Linked DNA regions of Arabidopsis thaliana. The protein of the gene in region 1 interacts with the protein of each later gene in a biochemical or structural test. Each region holds a gene or a part of one and is shown in the gene's direction. Other genes may lie near its edges.

Region 1 (7,592 bases):
ATTTCGCAGATACACTGAAGAAGAAACTAAACCAAATCGATCTAAACCGACTTTCAAATTCGACTTTAAAACCAAACCAAAGTAAACGGAAGATAAATTTACAAATCTGGGCCCCAAAGTGATGGGCCGTCACGGAAAAAGTTTTCTTCTTTCTTTTTCTTTATTTTTCTTTATTTTACTTGGAGACCACGCAGTTCTAGAACCATCCTTAAGCGACTCTCTAGCCTCTAGCAGCTTCTTCTACTCTCTGTTCTATATAAACCTTTCTCTAACAGCTTTTTTTTCGTTCAAAGAGTATAAAAAATATCTCATCGAGCTTGAAAATAATTAATCACTTGCTAATTCTAAGCTTCTTCTCTTTCCAAAAATGGCGTCATCATCGGCTTTAGCTCTCAGGAGACTTCTCTCTTCTTCCACCGTCGCCGTCCCTCGCGCCTTAAGAGCCGTTCGTCCGGTGGCTGCTTCATCTCGCCTCTTCAATACCAACGCCGCCAGAAACTATGAAGACGGTGTCGATAGGAACCATCACTCAAACCGACATGTTTCTCGCCACGGCGGCGATTTCTTCTCACGTAAATCCATGGTTCCTCCGTCCAATTTCGCTATAGATTTTCCCAATTTGATACATGTTTAGTGATTTATGTATAGAGTACATCTAACTTTGTTTTGGAGATCTGTTGAATCTGAAAATTTGGTTGTTTTTTCAAACAGATATACTCGATCCGTTTACTCCAACGAGAAGCTTGAGCCAGATGCTGAATTTCATGGACCAGGTAAGCGAAATCCCTTTGGTATCAGCTACTCGTGGAATGGGAGCTTCTGGAGTTAGACGTGGTTGGAACGTGAAAGAGAAAGACGACGCGTTGCATCTAAGGATAGATATGCCGGGACTAAGCAGAGAGGATGTGAAATTGGCTTTGGAACAGAACACATTGGTGATTAGAGGAGAAGGGGAAACAGAGGAGGGAGAAGATGTTTCTGGAGATGGACGGAGGTTTACGAGTAGGATTGAGTTACCGGAGAAAGTATACAAGACTGATGAGATTAAGGCGGAAATGAAGAATGGTGTGTTGAAAGTGGTGATTCCAAAGATTAAAGAGGATGAGCGTAACAATATTCGTCACATAAACGTTGACTAGAGTGTTTTATTTTGGATTGTTTGAGATGGAATGGAAGTAAGTGAGTGAATTTGTGAACTTTAAGGTGTCCTTTGGTGAATCAAGGAGAATGACATTTCCCACGGTCCTATGTGTTCGGGATTTTGACTTTTTTCGTTACATCAATGATCTATGTACGTTTGACTACTTTCATATCATAGGTTCGGATTTTGTTTCCCAAATTCTTGATATCGGATTCTGGATATGAATATCGTAGCAACTATGATATAGTTGAAGTTATTTGGATATTATTTATGGAGAAAAAGAGTCTGCTAGGACGATTTTCTATCATTATACCTATGGACTATGGTGGTGTTATCAAACATGCTGGACAGAGCCATGATCAACGATACATTCGATGCTCATTCTCGATGTTCAAACTCGGTTTTATAAGGGGATGATACATCAAATTGATACCAAGTAACTGATTTTGAATGTGCTGGAAATGTTGATATAGGTCTCAGCAACCAGAAGAAGGTTGTGGGACAAGACTATTAGAGAATTTTGCTACCGTTTTTTTTTCACCTCTGTTTGGCAAAGCGCGCTCTTTATAGCTTTACTTCTTTGGAACCACTTCGGTGACCATAGAACTCGTTCGTGTCGGCATCGTCAAATTTAAGTAACTTTTTATTTACCGCATGGTTTATTATTTTGAGTTTTTTTCTTCCGCATTTTATATTCTTCATTTTTCCTTGTCCATCGAGAAAGAGAGACAAAAAGAGGACGCAATTGCCGGTGCTGAGGAGAATTTTCCAATCGCGAACTCAGGTTTTGATCCATTTCGCTCTCTGCAGAATCCACCATTATCTTCATATTTTCTTCTATTGACCTCAATCTTTCAGCTCATCTCTCTCCTTTGGTTAATTGAATTTCCCAGTTTCTTCAATTTTACTTATTTAATACATATCTCTCTCAATTGCAGTATCCTATGAACTTCGTGATCATGGTTTTGAATTTTACTTGCTTCGATTGGCCTACGTTATAAAAAAATTGAAACTTTTTAACTCAATTCTCTAACTTACATAAGCTTTTGGTTTGCTTAGCTTATGCAAAATCATGTTGATGCAGGGGACGTCATGCTAAATGAGAATCTGTGGGTTAATTCGGAGTGAGAAGGCTATAATAGTTTCTAATGGGGATAACATATTTGCACATTTCCGTGGCAACAACAGCTTTGAGCTTTGTGGGTTTACAAGTCTGGACGGAGTTGTCTCTTGATAGACTTAGAGCTGATGGGATAATCACCAAGAACATTTCTTTAGGGAATTCTGAGAATACCCTTGAGCTTCTTCTGAGTTCTCACACTACAATTGCATTGCTGGCAAGTTTTGTTCTCAATATCTACATTCTTCTTGTTCTTTCTCTCAAGGTAAGAGTGGTCTTTTACTTCCGAGGTTAAGTTTAAGCAATATTCGTCGGCTAGCTTTATTCTTACGTAGAATAGATATACATCTTTTGAATGGTTCTTTCCTTTAGATGGAATTCAATGTAAAGCTCGTAGTTTGGCTATTAGAAAATACATGAATTATAAGTTTGCACCTGCGGGTTAAGAGTTGTGGTGTAAGAACCAAGTATTTCTGACCTGAAGGATTTAAAAACTCTTGGTTTTCGATAGTTATAAGGCTTCCGTGAAACCAAATACCATGCTATTTGTTGCCTTAAGGGTCTGCACATACTTGTAGGGTAATAATAGACTAGCTGTTTTGGGAAATGTCTTTCAATCATTGTGTGAGGATCTGATAACTCTTAATATTCCCTGCAGACTCTGTTTTTTGGAGATCTATATGCCATTGAAACTAGAAAACTGGTGGAAAGGCTTGCCAATTACATCATTTACAAGGTAGTTTTTTGTACTTTGATGAAAGACAGTAGGGTGCAACGGAAACCAACCCACAATTTCTGTCACTTATATAGTTTTATGATATCTGGGATATTCTATTATCTCCTTTACTGAATATATTGCAAAAAAGGATGAAGACGAAATCCTACTTAAAATGACAAGCATTAATGGTACATGAGCATATATTTCTACCACATTATTCGATTGGATATCTGATCTGTTTGCATAAAATTAAGTTATTTGCAGATGTGTGCCATTTTCATGTTAATAACCTTCTTGGTTACTCCTGTTTTTAGGGCACTTTTCTGCCATTCGTGGTTCCACGAACAGTATTTCAGGGGGTCCTATGGACAATCTGGTTGACTGTTCTGTGTACTCTAAAGGTATGGTATACAGGTTGCATAATTGGCTTTCTTGATTTATGATCAGGAAGTGCTGATTTTTTTTTCTAGACACCCTAATGTGTAGTAAAATGTTGTGTAGATGTTTCAAGCTTTGGCTAGAGATCGGCTTGATCGATTGAATGCATCTCCTTCTTCGACTCCTTGGACATACTTTCGTGTGTATTCAGCACTGTTCATGGTTCTCTCTACTGATTTGTGCTGGTATTTCCTTAACTCTTTGGTATCATGTGAAATTTTGAGTTGCGGCTTTTTCAACCCCTTTTTTTTTTTTAATATGAGTGCACTATTTTCCTTCTTCTATTTCAAAATATGAGTGTAAAGTTTTCCTCCTAGTTTCTGTCTCTGGAACCAGATATATATTCTTAAAATAAAATAAAGTATAGTTGTATATCAGAGGAGACAAAACAAATTAACCCTAAGTCTCTGAATGGTGCACATGACTTTCATGATGCATATAGTTCTAGTGAAAGCAGTGTAATTTTCTGCTAAGATAAAACAGAGGCTTTAGTATGTTCTGAGGGTGCATATGCTGTAGTGAGCGGAGAAAATATTGTGTTCTAGAGTTCCCGTATTTATTATACTGCAGTTCAATGAGGAGAAAATAGGGAGTTTTTAATTCATACACCAGACCCTCTGGATTATCATATTCTGTTCTAGTGATTGAAGAATGAACTTGTTCGTCTCTGGATGTTAATTTTGTCGAATCTTGCAGGATAAAGCTTTCCCTTATGATATACAATACAGTTGGTTCGTCTGTCTATTTACTGTTACTTTTTGAGCCATGCGGTATAGCTTTTGAGACCTTGCAGGTACTTGAGTAAGATAGTTGTATTCATTGTTTATGTTACCCTTCTTTGTAACCGTACCTAGAAATATAGAGGGTTGATCAATCGCATAATGGATCATTTTTTTCAGGCGTTGTTGATTCACGGGTTTCAACTGCTTGATATGTGGATCAACCACTTAGCAGTCAAGAATTCAGATTGCCAGAGATCAAAGTTTTATGATTCCATGACAGCAGGTTTTGTCTTTTTCTCGGCATATGATTGTAATTATGTTTTCTGTTAGACTGCAGGCGTGCATTATTTGAAATTTTTTGTCCTGTTTGGTGTTCACATTACTAACTTGACCTCTTACCCATTGAATAGGCTCGTTATTGGAATGGAAAGGCCTCCTCAACCGAAATCTTGGTTTCTTCCTAGACATGGCTACCTTGGTAATGGCCCTCGGTCATTATTTGCACATCTGGTGGCTCCATGGAATGGCCTTCCATCTGGTGGATGCAGTTTTGTTTCTCAACATACGTGTAAGTCTGTTAATTGACTTTCTTTGTAAAAGTGCCACTCTACTGGTTTCTTAATAGGCACATACCTAATTGTTAAGTTCTTTGTGTGTTCCCGTTTGATTTTGACAGGCCTTGCTAAGTTCAATTTTGAAACGAATAAAAGGATACATCAAACTGAGAGTAGCTTTAGGTGCTCTTCATGCAGCTCTTCTTGATGCAACTTCAGAAGAGCTACGGGATTATGATGACGAATGTGCTATATGTCGGGTAAGTTTCTGCTTGATAGTTATTGGTCTCCTTACTTTTTTTAGTAGCTCACTAATCTTGGAACCATTATGAATGATAGGAACCAATGGCTAAGGCTAAAAGACTTCACTGCAACCACCTTTTTCATCTTGGCTGCCTACGATCATGGTATGCTAGCTCTGTTATGTTGGCAGCCTTGTGCTATTGCGGTTCTGTGAGAACTGTAAATCATAATGATATTTTGACTCTGGCAGGTTGGATCAAGGTTTAAATGAGGTTTACTCTTGTCCTACTTGCCGTAAGCCTCTTTTTGTTGGTAGAACTGAAAGTGAGGCGAATCCTAGCAGAGGAGAAGTCTCAAGCGATGAACACTTAGCCCGTCAATTTGAGAGACAAAACAATTCTGTGCATGCACTAACCACTGGAATGTTTCCAACTGAGACGCCAAATTTCACCGAAAGTGATCCTTGGAGGTTGGGTTCATTGTTCCATATGTTTTCTTCTTAAGTGCATTAAAGTAACAGTGTGTTCATAACAAGATCATCAACTTCCTGTGGTTTCCTATCCCTGAGCTAAAATACTATGCATTCTCTAATTTTGTCTAATTATACTTGGTTCTTTTGGGTAGCAAGTAATTGTTGGTTTTGTGAGGACCAAGCTTGTGCCCCCATTGATTTTCTTTTTAAAGACTGGCTTTCTTAAACGGGATTAGCAGTTCTCACCTTTTTCTCATGCCATATAGGAATTCAGAGGTGGATCCAAGCTGGCTGCAAACATGGTCAGATCAGGGTGTTGATGTTGTGGGTTCCTCTGCAGGCTCCAGATCCGTTGGGCTGGGGCAGGTTCAATTGATGATGAGGCATCTTGCATCTGTAGGGGAAGGTTCTGCTCAGACTACACTTGACGATGCTTCTTGGGGTCTCTGGCCAATGAATCCTTCGCAAGCATCGACTTCATCTACATATGTTCCTCCTGGTGCTGGAGGAAGAACAGGTGGTCTGCATCTAAGAACTGTCTCCCGTGCAGCAAATAACATGGCGAGTATACTAGCAATGGCCGAGACAGTAAGGGAAGTCCTCCCACATGTGCCTGATGAAATAATTTTTCAGGTAAATATTAGATGCATTTATTGGTATGTGTCTGCTTTGACAAGCAAGCTACTTGCTGGGTTGAATTGCTAGGATATTTAGTTAGTTTCCTGCATCAAATGAAAGGAAAACATTTGTATATATGAATTTGTGAAGCAAAATTTTCATTAAGAAATTAATGGGCTCAATTTTTCTGAGTTTAATGGCCATTTGTTGTCATTTGTTTGCACACGCTGGGTATTGAAGTGATGATTGATTCAATCTTCTTTCAGGACCTGCAAAGAACAAATTCTGTTTCTGTTACAGTGAACAATCTTCTCCAGATGTGAAAATTGGTTTGCCTAAAAGTAATTAGCAGTTCCATTCGATAAGATAGACGCATCAGGAAACATCCTTGTCTTTTAAGTTTGACTCACCACCACACATTTAGAAGCGTTGTCTGCTGTAAATAGGAGGCATTCTTGCAACAGACTTTGCAAGAGTAAGAGGCTCTAGAGTAGATTTTGTTCATTGCTCTTGTGGGATAAATAAAGCTCATTTAGTTGCATTGTTCAGTCTGATGTTGGAGGCTTTATTCTCTGGAGCTGGTAACCAGTCTATGGGAATGCACGTCTGAGGACTGATGCTACCTCCATTTGTATAAGAACGTGTAATTTTACAATAAAACAAAAAGCAGAATGTATTGTTATTGATCCAATAGATCTTCTCAATTGCTGAACCGTTTCCTTAAAGCTGGGTCCTGCTGTCTACTCTATACCGGTTTCTTTAGCTTGAATTTGCAGGTTTCATGGCTTCTTGGAACAGAGGAAAGACATTCTGAGGGAACATTCTTGGTCCAGATGTTGGGTTCTTGGTTCTTGAAGCTCTTTTACTTTGAACTAACATGTGTTATTTGTTTTAGAAACACGCAGGAATTGAGCAATTCAATAGGACTTTTTGAAGACAAGATGTCTCGGAGATTGTGTCAAAGCTCAAAAAGTAGTGTTAACAGTCATCGTCAACCTCCAAACCATCCTCGAGGCAGACAAAACCATTAAGGTAATTAAAACAATTGCCTTCAAAAAGTGCTTTAAGTTTTTCATATAATAATGCAATCCGAAACTAGCTTGCATTATCTTAATAGAATATTTACCGTGGTAGTCGGTAAGTTTTGGGGATTGGTCTCAAATGAGATGTGTAAGAGACAAGAAGTAGTAAATCACTCGTTTTTCACCGAGGTTTATATGTCCTTTTCCTTTTGTTGTTTCTTTCTCTCTTTTTGACTCATGTTTGGCTTTTCCCATGAGCTTTTCCAGCACATTCATCTGGATTGATTAAATAAAAAACTTGTTTATTCTGTGATTTAATTCTTACATTCAAATACTTATGCGTGAACTTGCTCTTATTATATAGTCTCCTACTACCTATTAAGTCTTTTAACGGTTCATAATCCTCTTAGTCGTTGAGCCTTGTATGACTGCTTCTGTTGTGACCAATGAGCTCAATCCATGTTGCTTCAATGATCCTTCTCTTGTTTCTCTTCTTGCATCATTCTGATTCTCGTCACCTCGACAATGTCCACATTACAGCGTC
Region 2 (6,216 bases), on another chromosome or scaffold:
TCTCTGCCTTTACATGCACTAATGTCTTTTGTTTCACAGATAACTCGGAGAGGGCTTTCTACAAGGAGCTAGTTAAAGTCATTGAATTGTCTGATGTCATTTTGGAGGTTCTTGATGCCCGTGATCCTCTTGGCACTCGTTGTACTGACATGGAGAGGATGGTGATGCAAGCCGGTCCCAATAAGCATCTTGTGTTGCTGCTGAACAAGATTGGTAAGTTCATATATTCAGTCTTTACTCGTGGACGTAATAAGTTGTTTGTTTACTCTGGGTGGTGTAATTAATTTTTGTAACTGATTCACTCTCTCCAGATCTTGTTCCCCGAGAGGCTGCTGAGAAATGGCTTATGTACCTTAGGGAAGAATTTCCAGCTGTTGCCTTCAAGTGTAGCACCCAGGAACAGAGATCAAACTTGGGTTGGAAATCATCTAAGGCATCAAAACCAAGCAATATGTTGCAGACGAGTGATTGTCTTGGAGCAGACACTCTTATCAAATTGTTGAAGAACTACTCAAGAAGTCATGAGGTTGGTTCCATAGTTTAAACTTTAATCATCCTACCTTAGCATCAAGTTATATCATTCAGTTTCAATTAAATCTTCCTTTGTTGTTCTTTGGCAGTTAAAAAAATCTATCACAGTTGGTATTATTGGACTGCCTAATGTCGGCAAGAGTAGTCTTATTAACAGTCTGAAGAGAGCGCATGTTGTCAATGTTGGTGCCACTCCTGGACTGACTAGATCTCTGCAAGAGGTTCACTTGGACAAAAACGTGAAGTTGCTGGATTGTCCTGGAGTTGTGATGTTGAAATCATCAGGAAATGATGCTTCCATAGCTCTCCGAAATTGTAAAAGAATCGAGAAGTTGGATGACCCAGTTAGTCCAGGTAATTGGATATAAGCTCAAGATAGAATCACACTTATTTTTGTGCTTTGTCTTTTAAAGGTTATAATCTGAGTGACCTAACTTGGAAATCTTCTGCTTTGTGAAAAAAATAGTGAAGGAAATTCTCAAGCTTTGTCCTAAAGATATGCTGGTGACTCTCTACAAAATCCCGAGCTTCGAGGCAGTTGATGATTTCCTTTACAAAGTCGCCACTGTAAGGGGTAAACTTAAAAAGGGTGGTCTTGTGGATATTGATGCTGCTGCCAGAATTGTTTTGCATGACTGGAATGAAGGTGCGGATCTTTTTTTGTTCCTCGTAAACTTGAAGCGTAAAAGCATTTTTGAAAACCAGTTTCTTAACTCATCATTGTCTCTAATATGAATGGTTATGCAGGTAAAATCCCATACTATACAATGCCGCCAAAGAGGGACCAGGGTGGACATGCAGAGTCAAAGATTGTGACTGAGCTGGCCAAGGATTTCAACATCGATGAGGTTTACAGTGGTGAATCCTCTTTCATTGGGAGCTTGAAGACGGTTAACGAATTCAACCCTGTTATTATTCCTTCAAATGGTCCTCTCAATTTCGATGAAACTATGATCGAGGTTGGTAACTTCTCTCGTGATTCCATTTGCTTGTAAATGACTCGGTCTGGATTTAATCTTTGTTTATGATGATGTATCACAAAAAAAAAAAACAGGATGAGTCTAAGACGCAGACGGAAGAGGAGGCTGAGCATGAGAGTGATGATGATGAGTCAATGGGAGGGGAGGAGGAGGAAGAGGCAGGAAAGACGAAGGAGAAATCAGAGACGGGGAGGCAGAACGTGAAGCTATACGCAGCGGAAAGCATGTTGAATACAAAGAAACAGAAAGCAGAGAAGAAGAAGAGGAAGAAAGCAAAGAAAGCAGGAGCTGATGAGGAGGATCTGATGGACGGAGATTATGATTTCAAAGTGGATTATAGGAAGAACAAAGATGGAGAAGACGAAGAATTCCAGATTGATGCTAAAATCCCAATGGCTGGACTTTTGCCTGAAGAATGAGTGATTGGAAACCACAACGTTTTTTTTTTTTTTTTTTTTTGTATTTGGCGTTTATGAGTCGGTCGGTTAAACTTTCTGATATATGTGCTTCATGAACTAGTAGTAATACTGAAGCGATTTTGATTTCTTTAATTAACGTTTCTTCTATTCCAATTCTGCTTTGCTTAACAAATATCTTAAGAACATTCAAAAATCATTGAGGTAAGTGTACTTCTTCGCCCTTCAGAAGAAAGTAATAATCTTTTACCCTTTCAGTTTCAGGTAACGAATGACGAAAACAACACCCGAGTTCAGTACATCAGATTTCTCTGTCTCTCTCTTGGAACTTCCAAACTCGACCATATCCGTCAAATTGAATTCCAAGTTGCAAATGTGAAAGCAGTTTAAACCCGTGTTGACTTTAACGCAAGTAAAGGACGTTGACTTTGTTGAGGTCCTTAAGGATAATTGATCAAAATGTTATGTGGCAGGCATGTAAGGTGTGAACCGAAAGCTTGGCTTTGCTCAAATTCAGCAAGTTCACCAAGAGAAACTAAATCAGTGAAGGAAAAAAGGTTCAAGCGAGACTCTGAGGAAGATGGCTTCGGCTACTGTTGATTTTGGGATCGGACGGATTCTTAGTGTCCTGGAAAACGAGACCTTGTTATTGTCAGGAGTCCATGGTGAGATTGATAAAATGAAGAAGGAGTTGCTGATCATGAAGTCCTTTCTTGAGGATACTCATAAACATGGTGGAAATGGATCCACAACAACAACAACTCAACTCTTCCAAACTTTTGTGGCAAACACGAGAGATTTGGCTTACCAAATCGAAGACATTCTCGACGAGTTTGGCTATCACATCCACGGTTATCGTAGCTGCGCCAAAATTTGGCGTGCGTTTCATTTCCCGAGGTATATGTGGGCGAGGCACTCGATAGCTCAAAAGCTAGGAATGGTTAATGTCATGATTCAATCCATTTCTGATTCCATGAAAAGGTACTATCATTCAGAAAACTACCAAGCAGCATTATTACCGCCTATTGATGATGGCGATGCAAAGTGGGTGAACAACATCAGTGAGTCATCTCTTTTCTTTAGTGAAAATAGTCTTGTAGGGATTGATGCACCCAAGGGAAAGCTCATCGGACGGCTTCTAAGTCCCGAACCTCAGCGGATTGTTGTCGCGGTGGTTGGGATGGGCGGTTCAGGGAAAACTACACTCTCAGCGAATATCTTCAAGTCTCAAAGTGTGCGGAGGCATTTTGAGTCTTACGCTTGGGTTACAATCTCGAAATCTTATGTGATTGAAGATGTGTTTAGGACCATGATCAAGGAGTTTTACAAAGAAGCAGATACACAGATTCCAGCTGAATTATACTCCTTAGGCTACAGAGAGTTGGTGGAAAAACTTGTGGAGTATTTGCAGTCGAAGAGGTACATTGTTGTGCTTGATGATGTATGGACCACTGGTCTATGGAGGGAGATAAGTATTGCTTTACCAGATGGTATTTATGGAAGTCGTGTTATGATGACTACTCGGGACATGAACGTGGCTTCTTTCCCATATGGAATTGGGAGCACAAAGCACGAGATTGAGCTCTTAAAAGAAGACGAAGCTTGGGTGCTTTTCTCCAACAAAGCTTTTCCGGCAAGTCTTGAGCAATGCAGAACGCAGAATTTGGAGCCGATAGCACGAAAATTAGTCGAGAGATGTCAGGGTTTGCCATTAGCTATTGCTTCTTTGGGAAGCATGATGTCAACCAAGAAGTTTGAATCAGAATGGAAGAAAGTCTACAGTACTTTAAACTGGGAACTGAACAACAATCATGAACTCAAGATTGTTCGAAGCATTATGTTCCTTAGCTTCAATGATTTGCCATACCCGCTTAAACGTTGTTTCTTATATTGTTCTCTTTTCCCTGTGAACTATCGGATGAAAAGAAAGAGGCTCATTAGGATGTGGATGGCACAAAGGTTTGTGGAACCGATCAGAGGAGTGAAAGCAGAAGAAGTGGCTGATAGTTACCTCAATGAACTTGTTTACAGAAATATGCTTCAAGTTATCTTGTGGAATCCTTTTGGACGACCCAAGGCGTTCAAGATGCATGACGTGATATGGGAGATTGCTCTATCTGTATCCAAACTTGAGAGGTTCTGTGATGTATATAATGATGACAGTGATGGTGATGATGCTGCAGAAACAATGGAGAATTACGGTAGTCGCCATTTATGCATTCAGAAAGAGATGACACCTGATAGTATACGTGCAACAAACCTTCACTCTCTTTTGGTTTGCTCTTCTGCTAAACACAAGATGGAATTACTTCCAAGTCTGAACCTTCTGAGAGCCTTAGACCTTGAAGACTCTTCCATCAGCAAGTTACCAGATTGTTTAGTAACTATGTTCAACTTAAAGTACTTGAATTTGTCCAAGACACAGGTGAAAGAACTGCCAAAAAACTTCCATAAACTCGTCAATTTGGAGACGTTGAACACAAAGCACTCCAAGATTGAGGAACTTCCTCTAGGGATGTGGAAATTGAAGAAGTTGCGATATCTCATTACTTTTCGCCGCAATGAAGGACATGATTCCAATTGGAATTATGTTTTAGGTACAAGGGTTGTTCCTAAAATCTGGCAGTTGAAGGATTTGCAAGTCATGGACTGCTTCAACGCAGAAGATGAGCTTATCAAAAATCTCGGGTGTATGACTCAGCTCACAAGAATAAGTCTTGTCATGGTTAGGAGAGAACATGGAAGAGACTTGTGCGATTCACTGAATAAGATTAAAAGAATTCGATTCTTATCTTTAACGTCGATTGATGAAGAGGAACCGTTAGAGATAGATGACCTGATCGCAACTGCAAGCATTGAGAAGCTCTTTCTTGCTGGGAAACTGGAGAGAGTACCAAGTTGGTTCAACACTCTTCAAAACCTTACCTATTTGGGTTTGCGTGGATCTCAGCTACAGGAAAACGCCATTCTCTCTATCCAAACGCTTCCTAGATTGGTATGGCTTTCATTTTACAATGCATACATGGGACCTAGGTTGCGTTTTGCACAAGGATTTCAGAATCTGAAGATTCTAGAGATAGTTCAGATGAAACATCTGACAGAAGTTGTTATAGAAGACGGTGCAATGTTTGAGCTTCAGAAGCTTTATGTCAGGGCTTGTAGAGGGTTAGAGTACGTACCAAGAGGAATTGAGAATCTTATAAATCTTCAAGAACTGCATTTGATTCATGTTTCTAATCAGTTAGTAGAACGCATTCGCGGAGAAGGGAGTGTGGACCGGTCAAGGGTTAAACACATTCCTGCGATTAAGCATTATTTCAGAACTGATAATGGCTCTTTCTATGTGAGCCTCTCATCTTAGGCGGCCAAGGCAAGCTTCATCATACAAGATACTGCACACTGTACTGTGAAAATCAGGGATGGATATTCACATAACTACTAAACGCCATGAGCTTACCAAACAGATTGATTGTCATGTGTTGTCTTTGAAAGTCAACAATCAGGTCTTCTCTTCACTCAAAGACAACATTTTTTTGCTGGTCTCATGAGTCAGTGCTAATGACTAAACAGCTCACTTCACAGCAGTTTCCACTGTTTTTTTTCGAAATTCATTTAAGTAAGATTTAATATGGTCAGCTGATTGTTCTGTAATTCTGTGTAAACATTACTTTGTTAAGACCTTAATATTGTTGACATTGTTATTTGAGTATCGGCTTCAACCAAGAAATTCCACTACCGTGTTAGTCTTCTAAATGAAAGTGGCTCATTCACAATCCCAAAAGTTAGGACCTTTACACTAATCGAAATAACCAGATACAGTTGGACTAAATACTTAATACTACTCCAAAACATTCCATTTTAAATTTCTCCTTAACTGATGGAAAAGTTTTGAAATTTTGAAAAGAAGAAAGTAAAAAAAATCTTGTTATCAACGATCCGCGGCGGTTAAAACGGAGATTATTATTGATGGATGGATATCTGGTCATTCGTGTTATCCACGTGCAACTAACGCACGTAAAAGACATACTAACCTCCCCGAAAATCGGATCCGGATCCGAAAATATCTGACCCGTTTTGAAGCGGTTTGACGAAAGACCGTTTTGGGCCTAGTCAATAGTAAAAATTAAAAACTCAAGGCTCTTTGGTGTCCCTTGGTATTACTATCGGCCTTTCCCGATGCTCTTTCTTCTTCATCTTGAAACTCGCGATTCCTTCTTCTCCTTCTAGGGTTTATTACTAAGGGTTTCTCTATCCTTAAATCTCATCTCTGTCCTTTCTTCTTCTCCAGA

What was found. The genes of interacting proteins can lie anywhere in the genome.
Region 2: the proteins of RIN3 (region 1) and RPM1 form a complex in vitro, tested with the Arabidopsis thaliana proteins (one study listed by BioGRID).

What each region holds. Positions count from the first base shown.
Region 1 is NC_003076.8:20,890,875-20,898,466, forward strand, and holds RIN3 (RPM1 interacting protein 3), read left to right. Parts: upstream 1-1,768; 5' UTR 1,769-1,925; intron 1,926-2,225; 5' UTR 2,226-2,289; coding exon 2,290-2,526; intron 2,527-2,919; coding exon 2,920-2,997; intron 2,998-3,293; coding exon 3,294-3,380; intron 3,381-3,480; coding exon 3,481-3,602; intron 3,603-4,113; coding exon 4,114-4,210; intron 4,211-4,316; coding exon 4,317-4,422; intron 4,423-4,549; coding exon 4,550-4,707; intron 4,708-4,815; coding exon 4,816-4,953; intron 4,954-5,032; coding exon 5,033-5,100; intron 5,101-5,186; coding exon 5,187-5,405; intron 5,406-5,620; coding exon 5,621-6,041; intron 6,042-6,292; coding exon 6,293-6,349; 3' UTR 6,350-7,085; downstream 7,086-7,592. Other genes in the region: AT5G51440 (HSP20-like chaperones superfamily protein), read left to right, coding at 368-572, 712-1,139; RGF5 (root meristem growth factor), read left to right, coding at 7,495-7,592. UniProt on the Arabidopsis thaliana protein: E3 ubiquitin protein ligase that acts as a positive regulator of RPM1- and RPS2-dependent hypersensitive response (HR), in association with RIN2. Probably not required for RPM1 degradation during HR.
Region 2 is NC_003074.8:2,225,316-2,231,531, reverse strand, and holds RPM1 (NB-ARC domain-containing disease resistance protein), read left to right. Parts: upstream 1-1,976; 5' UTR 1,977-2,507; coding exon 2,508-5,288; 3' UTR 5,289-5,677; downstream 5,678-6,216. Other genes in the region: NSN1 (GTP-binding family protein), read left to right, coding at 40-213, 312-526, 621-885, 998-1,177, 1,279-1,490, 1,586-1,930.